2 separate regions of the Mus musculus genome follow, and region 2 is reported to be linked to region 1. Evidence: microRNA targets listed by miRTarBase, many of them from high-throughput screens and not tested one by one. Region 1 holds a microRNA gene; the other region holds the end of a gene's coding sequence.

Region 1 (5,073 bases):
CACTGTTGGAGATCCTGTCAGAGTTACATTGTAGGATTAGTCGATGGCTATTTAGGACGATTTCATATTTTCTAGCTGTACATCAAGCTGAGCTGGAATACTTGAGTCATGCAGTCAGATCACACTTCTCCCCACATTCTGTAGAGGAGCCCTGAGGTCCCAGGCAAGGCTGGCCGGGATGGTTTGCCCGAGCCTCCCTTGGTCTGCTCTCATCTAGAAGTATGTGGGCCACATCCTATCAGACTTTCCATATTATGCATCTTTCCTTTTGACTGTTTTGTACAGACCACAGTGTACTTACCTCAGGGCATCTCCTTCAGTGTTGGTCTTTGGGAGCCTTGGCTCTTCAGAGCATCTTCAGGCTTTCATTGGAGGCACATATCACGAGTGAACCTGATTGTTGGTATGGCTCTCTGTGAGATCTCACGAGGGTGGGGCAAAGGCCTGGCAGCCTTGGTCTTGCTGCATCCCCAGCATCTGGCCTCACCTCTCCGGTACTCTGTGGGTGAGTGATGAGCCGGTGGAGGTGGAGGGAGAGCTGTCGCTGGATCAATGCGATTGGCTTTTCAAAGTGCATCATGGTCCCCTCCTAGGGCACTTGGCATGCTGTGGGAGGCATCCTACCTGCTCAAGTCTCATATGCTCATAAAGCTGCCAAAGAGAAGGAATTAGATGATACCATCTTTCATCTTTGGAGTCTGGCTCACACAGGAGCTTTGTGAAGGCACACAGGCTGGAAAATAAAAAATGAAATGGGCACAAATGAAGGTGACTCATCTCACTTTGATGCACACCATGGGAATGAGGGTGTAGGAAAATGAATTTAAGAACCCAGGATAGCATTTACTCTGTCTCCTTTCTTGAAAAAAAATTTCTGGACTGTGTCTATGATCCAAGTGTGTTCTAGAAGCTGGAAATAATATTATGGAACCAACACCTACTCCCTACTCCGACATGAAAAAAGTTAAAAGTGAGCTTATAGGGTCAGAACCCCCCCTGGAAATATGAATCATATGATATATCTAGAATATAATTCTTATAATTTAATGATAAAAAGACAAACAGCCCAGTTTAGAAGTTGCAAAATATGTGAATTTTTTTTTTTTGTCTGAACAAAGTAGCTGTGCAAATGCAGTAAATAGATGAAAAGGTGCGCAACCTCATTAGCCACCAGGGAGAGGCAAATCAAAACCACAGTGAGGCACCGCTTTGTACCTGCTGGGAGAACTACAATCAAAAAGTCAGGCCATATAGCAAGGCTGTGGAGAAAGGAACCCCCAGACCCTGGCGGAGGAAATGTCAAATGGTGGAGCAGCTTTAGTGGAGAGTGTGAGAGTTCTCTAAAGAGACATGGATGTAATGGAACCCCACCATCTACTCTGAGTTACAGAGTCAAGAGAAATGACAGCATCTATCAGCACAGAGCTGGGAATGGCCCTAGAAGCATTTGTAGTTGAGATAGAGCAGAGGTGGGCTGGAGAGGGGGCTGTGTTTAAAAGCACAGACTGTTCTTGCAGAGGTGCCAAGTTTGCTCCCCAGAACCCATGTTGGTGGCTCACAACAACTTGTAAATCTAGCTCTAGGGGGACTCTGTAGCCTCCTTTGCCACCTGCATTCATGTACACACACACACACACACACACACACACACACACACACTTACACATACTTAAAATAAACAATAAAAAATAAATATTTAGGAAAAGTGGAAATAATATGTATTTACATGGCCTAGAGGTCGGGTATAGAAGTCAGGAGTAAATGTGATTAGCATGTAGTTTAGGGATGATTAAAACATTCTTAGATTAACTATGGTGGCTATCAAACAACTTCATGGTAATATTGAAAGCCATTGAGTTTTATCCTTTATGAGTAGGTAAATTGTATAGTCGTGAGTTCTATTTCAAAGAAACAGTTACAATTATTTAAAAAAAATTACTTGTTGTTGTAGGGGGGTCTTTTGTTCAGAGACTTACTCTATAATGCTAGTTGGTCTGGAACCCATAATGCTACCCAGGATGACCTTGAACTCACAGAAATCCTCCTGCCTTAACCTCAAGAGTGCTAGGGTTACAGGAATGCTCCATTTTGCCGAGCTGTTGTTTATATACTTTCAAAAAAAAGCACTAGCATGGGCTCTGCCCCTGTGAAAATATAGTCTTGTTTGGGAGATAGTATTTATCAACAATGACATCAAAGGCTCTATCAATTAGTTTATAACTATGAAGGGAAGGATTGAACATGACACAGGAGAATGGCAGGTATCACTGGGGAACGGAGACGAGGTATTAGTGAGGCTATTACACTCAATGATTCTAACAGATGCCTAAATAGCAGTGGCTTGAAAAGGGGAAGGTCCTGCTCTTGCTGACGTGAAGAAATACAGTTTCAAAGATCATCTAGTGCCATGCCCTGCCCTATCATGGGTGGTGCATGGCCCACATTGCATGGTGTGGGTGCAGCTGTACTGTGCGCTCTGTCTCCATGTAGAACTGGGTCACTCTAGGAAATGGGGCCTTTGTGCCAGGAGTGTGTGTACACGGTGTGTGGGGGGGAGGGGTGGTGGGTTCGGTGAACACAGAAGAGACACAGGGTGACAATCCAGTCATCTCTGCTATTGATGGTCTTGCTGAGGAGGTGATTCAGTAGGTGAGAGCCTCAGGAGGAATAGGCGTTGAGGGCAGTTTTCCAGGCCAGGGGCACATGTATGAGGGCACAGTGGGGACGGAAAGACCATCTGTCATGTTCCTGATTGCTTTTGAGAAAATCTTGCTACGTACTTCAGGCTGCCCTTGGACCAGCAGTCCTCTTGATGCACCTTCTTCTTCGCTGGGATTATGGGGTGGCCTCAAACTGACATTTCTCCTGCTGCAGGCTCATGAATGTTGAGATTACAGGCTTGCACCACATGCCCAGCATGTTTAATGATTGCTTATGAACTTGCCTATCTTGTGTCCCAGATCCTTATGCATCAAGAGTGTCCAGTCTGCAGAGGCCGTGCTTTTGGATTTATCAGAGATTTCTCTTGTGTTTTTACAGGGCTGGCAGGATCTGGCCTGGGAGGAAGGCCTCATCTGGAGAGTCTGTGTGTATCCCCAGCTCTGAGAACTGAATTCCATGGGTTATATCAATGTCAGACCTGTGAAATTCAGTTCTTCAGCTGGGATAGCTCTGTCATCACGGACCTGAAGAACACTGGTTGGAACAAACTCTGAAGGCCTTCATAGTCTGCCAAGGAACTTGAAGAGTGGAGAGAGTGGGGTGAAGCGTGGAACTGCTGGCACCGGAGGGAGTCATGTTGGATTGATGTGTGTTCTAATTTCATTTCTGTTGCTCTGATAAAATATCTTGACAAAAACAATTTAGGGGAGAAAGGGTTTATTAGATTATAATTCCAGGTCACAGCTGATCATTATAGGGAAGACAAAGTAGGAACTTGAAGCAGCTCGTCTCATACATCGTCAAGAAGAAAAAGAGAGCCAAACATTGTGGCACATACCTTCACTCCAAGAAATTTGGAAGCAGAGGCAGGTGGCTCTCTGGTAGGCCAGCCTGATGTACAGAGCAAGTTCCAGGCTAGCCAGAGCTATATAGTGAGATTGTGTCTCAACAAAGAGGAAAAAAATAGAGAAAAAATATATATGCTTACTTGTACTTGACCCCCTCTCTACACTTAAAGAGTCTAGGATCACCTGCCTAGGGAATGATGCTGCCTACAGTGGGCTTGGATCTTCCTATGCCAATTAATATAATCAATATATCCATCCACAGATATACATAGGTCAACCTGATCGAGATGATCCCTCACTAACACTCTTTCTAAATGATCCAAGATTGTGTCAGGTTGACAGTGCTAAGCAATATAGTATGGCAATTCCTCCTCCGGTTGGGAAAAGCGAAGCATCCTATAAATAGCCTCACTGAGTGGTTCTTGCTGCTGTGACTCTTGTTTACATTTCCATGATTTAGGATGAGTCAGGTATGAAGGGGACTAAGTGCTATGCATGCTGTTATAGGAGACTCATGGGAAACACCACTTTAATGAAGCTTGAGAGACACAGGATTGCCAAGCAGTGATTTCCCAGTCTCTTTATGGGACCAGATGGAATTAATTGTATGTGGCAATTATCCTTTAGCATGGTCTGCTGAGGTGTTTGGCTGCTTTTTCAGATATGTAGCAAAAAAGGATAAAGAACACATCCTTCTTATAGCCCCTCATCCCTTTTATTTGAACCTGTGCTTTCTTGCCTACTTTAAGCAAACAAGGGGTAGAGTGTTCTTTTGTACCTCCAAACAAGACAAAAGAAGTTGTAATTACACTCCACTGTAACTGACAGTTTCTTCCAGGGATGAGGATTAAGAAGCCTTAGAAAGTCTATTTGGACATATAGTCTATTAAATGATGGGGCTCAGGTCCTTGTAGAGAGGCAATAAAGACCTCTGTCACCAAGCATGTTGGGTCTCTTCTGAGAGTTGGGCTTGATTTGCTGCTGCTGATTATCTGGACTTTATTAAGCTTTTGAATTAGTGGGGAATTAGGAATGTGCCCTGTGCTTTGGGAACTCCTCTTTGACTCATCACTACGTCTTGGTGTCCTGGGATTTCCTTCTTACTCTTGTCTCTGAATGAAAAGAGAGGGAGGTAGCATGAGATGGGGGACTGTACAGCACCCACATGCTCAGTCTTTCAACTGAGGAACGTAGGTGTTTACTGTGCATCGACTCCTAAATCCAGGGCTTTGCCTATACGATCTCAGTGAATCTTACCAAGCCTCATCTCCATAATATAGACACATCAACAAAAGGATTTTTTCCCCTGTTATTATGATAAAATGGCCTGGCAAAAATAATGGTTGATTTTGGCTCACAGTTCAAGGGTATTGTTCATCATGGAGGAAGTCATAGCATGAGAAGCTTGAGAGCTGCTGGCCACATGACCTCGGCAGACAAGCCGTGGAGAGCAGCAGATGCGCACAGCTCACTTTCTCCTTTGCATGAAGTCCAGGACACTACCCAGGGAAGGGTGCCACCCTACTTTATGGTGGCTCTTCTTACATCAATTAACTTAATCACC
Region 2 (5,073 bases), not on the chromosome of region 1:
TACCTTGTCCCCGATTATTTACCAGGGCCTGCCCAACACACGGCTGGCAACACAGCCTCACCTGGTGCAGACCCAGCAGGTGCAGCCACAGAACTTACAGCTCCAGCCTCAGAACCTGCAGCCACCATCACAGCCACACCTCAGTGTGAGCTCGGCAGCCAATGGGCACCTGGGCCGGAGCTTCTTGAGTGGGGAGCCCAGTCAGGCAGATGTACAACCGCTGGGCCCCAGCAGTCTGCCTGTGCACACCATTCTGCCCCAGGAAAGCCAGGCCCTGCCCACATCACTGCCATCCTCCATGGTCCCACCCATGACCACTACCCAGTTCCTGACCCCTCCTTCCCAGCACAGTTACTCCTCCTCCCCTGTGGACAACACCCCCAGCCACCAGCTGCAGGTGCCAGAGCACCCCTTCCTCACCCCATCCCCTGAGTCCCCTGACCAGTGGTCCAGCTCCTCCCCGCATTCCAACATCTCTGATTGGTCCGAGGGCATCTCCAGCCCGCCCACCACCATGCCGTCCCAGATCACCCACATTCCAGAGGCATTTAAATAAACAGAGATGTGGGATGCAGGACCCCAGCTTCCGTTCCCAAGCCCTGTTGGGAGTCCTTTCCAGTGCTTCAGGATGCTGGGGCGACCAAAGGAGCCTTTTAAAAAATGTTTTTATACAAAATAAGAGGACAAGAATTTCCATTTTTTTTTTTAGTATTTATTTATGTACTTTTATTTTCCACAGAAACACTGCCTTTTTATTTATATGTATTGTTTTCTATGGCACTAGGGAAAAACATATCTGTTCCAAGAAAATAAACTAGTTCTCAGAGCCTTGATTTTCCTGGTCAGGGTGAAGTTCCCTGTGTGTCTGTAAAATATGAACAAGGATTCATGATTTGTAAATGCTGTTTATTTATTGATTGCTTCTTTCCAAAATCGAAAAGAAAGAAAAAAGAACGTGACAGGAGAAGGGAAGCTGGAAACTGCCATGGCCAGAATTGCCCCTCCCCCACACTCACTGCCCCTCCCCCCAGCGTCACCTGGGATTTGCAGATGTGTTTAGAAACACGCCCAGACCTTGAACCTTGGGTTCATGGATTAGTTTTGTATCTAAAACAGGAAACAAGTCAGATGATGTGGTTTGTACACTTTCTGTAACCACCAGTGTGGACTTGAAGAAGTGTCCTCAGCATGTGCAGAGTCTACTACCCAGTACCAGTCGTGAGTCTGCAGGCTCCAGTGTTCTGTAGTAGTGTTTATGGGCCTTGGGAGTACTTCTCCCCTGCCCTGCCCCACTGTCCCCTTCCTGACAACTTGAGCCAGTAAGCCATGCAGGGTGTGGTGCCTCCTAGAGAAAACACTGCCTGGACTGTTCTGTGCATCCCTCCAAACAGCATCATCCAAATCCAACTGAGGACAGACGGACTGTCCCGGCCTGGGCCTGGGCTCCTAACACCTGACTGCCAAAGGGCTCCAATGTGCATTGTGGACTCGCCAGAGTAGCCTGCATTGAGACTCCAAGAAAACAGAAGCTATGTGGCCTCTGATCCCCAAACTGGCCTGGGTGGGGACATGCCTTGAGTGTGCTGGAATGTGGGTGGAGCCTGCTTCTGGGCCACCCCTCCTGGTTCAGGGCTGTGCTCACAGCAGATTCTTGCAGTATCAAGTATACGCCTGTGGCAGAATAAGTATCTGTAAATACATGTTTAAAGATGGATTTTGTTTAAAAAATCTAAAGGAACAAGTGTGTCGTGTGTCAAGCTGATGAGGACTGTCAGACTGTGGCTTAGCTCAGTGTGACCCAGACCTTGTGACCTGTAGCTGCCGAACCAGTAGCTCCTAAGAGCACAACCCAGGATGGCCCATCTGCTGCCCACCAAGTCCCTTTCCAGCCACTGTGTGCTGGGGGCTTTCGGGGGCAGTTGCCCACCTCCTCAGGGCAGCTCTTTCTGGCCTTTTGGGGGGCAGTGTCTGTGCCATGCCTAATAGATATGACCAGACGCATCCTAAGATGTTGATTCTTACTGTGTTGTATAAAATAAAGTGTAGTTTACAAAAAAAAGAAACGTAAAAAAAAAAAACTACATGCAAAACTGTAGGTAATGAAAATGATGTATTTTTTTCATCTTTTTTTGTTAACTAATTTGCAATAAAAATGATACTGATGGTTGTCCACATTTTGCTAAACTTGGAGTGTGGTTTGGTTCACTTTTTGGGGAGTGTGACAGAGAAAGGGCCACCCAGCACTGAAATAACCAAATCCAAACCCTCTCTTACACAGAAATACAGAGGTTGCCATAAGGACACACCATTTTCAGAAGCTGCACAGCGCAGGGCATCAAGGTGGGAAGACAGTTTCCAAAAGAGTTGATGCAGTCCTCTCAGGGATGTGGATCTGATTGATGCCAGCTGTATTCCTGTGAGCAGCAGAGGAGTGAAGGCACCTTATGTTGTCATAGATGACTATCCTCTGAGCCCAGTAACCCCCAACCTCTTCAAATTCAGCCATGCCTTGCAAAAGGTCATCCCAGCTGTGCTTGTTGACTGCTTATAGACCCCCTCAAAGAGTTGGGAAGGTCATGGGACTCAAAGGACCCTTGCCTGATGATCCAGTCACTTTGTTGTATGCAGTCCTGCCCTAATTGTGCATGACCTCAGGGAGGTACTAGAGTATATAGTCTGGGAAGACTAGTGGAGAGACTCCATCTATGTGGCTGTGAGGAAAGCCTTATCCCTGCTGGGTAAATGTTGTATTAATATTCATTTAATAAAGGCTGGGCGTGGTGGCACACGCCTTTAATCCTAGCACTCAGGAGGCAGAGGCAGGTGGATTTATGAGTTCGAGGCCAGCCTGGTCTACAGAGTGAGTTCCAGGACAGCCAGGGCTATACAGAGAAACCCTGTCTCGAAAAACCAAAAAAAAAAAAAAAAAAAAAAAAAAAAAAATTCATTTAATAAATCCTGGCAGCAGGTCACTATCCAACTCAATGGTTTATGAAAGACACACAACCTTTCTTTATATTTTATTATGTCTTATTCAGCACAATAGCTGGGTAGCTGCCTAGCCTCCATATTGCTAAGACTCTGTCTCCCCATTCTGAATTCCTGCTTACTAATTCTATGTTCTATCGTGGCTGATCTAGACCAAGTTGGGCAGCCTTCTAGGCCATGCTCTCCCAGCTCCTTCAGGTGGTAGCCTTGCCTCTCTGTCCTGCACTCTTCCCAGGCATGGCATCTCTCCTCTCCCCAACTCTCCCTTCTCCCACTGCCTCAAGTCTCAAGCCCAGGAGTCCTAAACGGTCCACCTTGTCTGTCCTCCCCAGCTACTGGCTATTGGTATCTTTATTTACCAATCAGAACCCACTGGGGACAGGTTCCCAAAAGCTATGTGTAGACCTTCCTGTGCAGTTCGGGGGAACATTAACATTTGTAATACAAACAGCTACAAGTAAAGAGTTCCAATGTGGACTCAGTAAGTAACCCTTTACCTATGTTCTGCTCTTGTCAGCGCTGCAAATCCATTGGTGCCCTAGTCAGCTTTGGTGCCTAGGACCTTAGGAGGAGGGTTAAGTGTTGTCTCTTCCTGGGAAGGAATTTTAGCAACACTCATCTAGTCCGAGAGCCCAGCAGGTACAAAGGCATCTTAGCCCTAAGAAGAAATCATAATAGCACAGGTGTGGATCTCCCTTGGCCTGCTGTACTGGCTAGTTTTGTGTCAACTTGACACAGCTGGAGTTATCACAAAGAAAGGAGTTTCAGTTGGGGAAATGCCTCCACGAGATCCAGCTGTAAGGCATTTTCTCTTAGTGATCAAGGGGGGAAGGGCCCTTTGTGGGTGGTACCATCTCTGGGCTGGTAGTCTTGGGTTCTATAAGAGAGCAAGCTGAGCAAGCCAGGGGAACCAAGCCAGTAAAGAACATCCCTCCATGGCCTCTGCATCAGTTCCTGCTCCCTGACCTGCTTGAGTTCCAGTCCTGACTTCCTTGGTGATGAACAGCAGTATGGAAGTGTAAGCCGAATAAACCCTTTCCTCCCCAACTTGTTTCTTGCTCATGATGTTTGTGCAGGAATAGAAACCCTGACTAAGACACCTGCCTAGGCCTCTCCATTTGGCCCACACCTTGGAGCACAGCAGGAGTCTCTAACCAAAGTGACAATGGGGAATGTGATGCCCTCTCTGAGCCTGACATCTGAGGACAAGTGTGAATCCATCAAGTTCAGATGTCTTGCCCCGGCTCAGTGTTGCACACTGTGAAAGCGGAGGGGGCCCAGGGGCCCAGAAGGGGTGCTCACACACAGAATTGTGATAACTTGTCTCATTCTTGCCCTCAAGGGGAAGGTCGGAGCCTGAATTCTGCCCGGAGAACTAGCATCTCCAAAATTCCATCCGGAATGGAAATGTCAGCTCGGAAAGGGCTTAGCAGGCTCATATGCCTGGGTGTTCTCTAGAGCATCATCCACAATGGCATGTGCAGCCCAGGGTTCACAACTGATGGCTGGACCACTGAGAACACATCTGGACTGGGTTCGGGGTGAAAAACATTGATGTTTGCAGATCAAAGCAAGGGCCTACCCATGTGGGCAAATCTTCTCCAGTGAGAGACCAAACAACAAAAGGTCAGGGAAGAGGGGATGGATCCTGCCTACTGCGGCAGAACATGAATCCTCTCCCCTCCAGGCTCCCACGGAAAGATTGCCTGTTCTTGGGTCTCCAGCTTGCCAGGTACAGCTCTGGGGACTTGCCAACCCCACAACCTCTCTTTGTATCTACCCTAGTAAACATTCAGTGGAGTATTTTTCAGCCATTAGAAGGAACAAAGCTCTGAGACCTACTAACATGTGGGTGAGCTGCAGGAGGACACAGGGCTCGTGAAAGACATCTCAAAAATGACCACATGATTTCATCTTTATGAAATGTCCTCAGTAAGTAAAGCCACAAAGACAGAGAACAGAGTGGCCATTCCTGGGTCCAGGGAAATGGGTATGACTGACAATGCCTATACATTTGACTTTGCATGGATAGTCCAGCACTGTGTACGTCTAAGGCAGAAGGCTGCATGGCACTGTGAAGGTCCC

Evidence for each region. The annotated mature microRNA mmu-miR-146a-3p reads CCUGUGAAAUUCAGUUCUUCAG and lies in region 1 at 3,139-3,160, shown strand. An mRNA with a match to its seed (bases 2 to 7 or 8) in the 3' UTR can be bound and repressed. Matches are read on the target gene's strand: a 7mer-m8 pairs with bases 2 to 8, a 7mer-A1 pairs with bases 2 to 7 and ends in A, and an 8mer does both.
Region 2: the mRNA of Notch1 is a reported target of mmu-miR-146a-3p. The part of its 3' UTR that is shown has no 7-base or 8-base seed match.

The regions. Positions count from the first base shown.
Region 1 is chr11:43,372,486-43,377,558 of GRCm38, reverse strand. It overlaps Mir146 (microRNA 146), which reads left to right and starts at 3,098; the gene lies at 3,098-3,162.
Region 2 is chr2:26,455,014-26,460,086 of GRCm38, reverse strand. Notch1 (notch 1) reads left to right here. Exons shown (of 34, transcript NM_008714.3): 34 at 1-2,185. The coding sequence ends at 556. 0610009E02Rik (RIKEN cDNA 0610009E02 gene) reads right to left here. Exons shown (of 3, transcript NR_152209.1): 2 at 2,307-2,414; 3 at 697-865. Among named protein-coding and RNA genes, the nearest start is that of 0610009E02Rik, 12 kb to the right of the region's middle.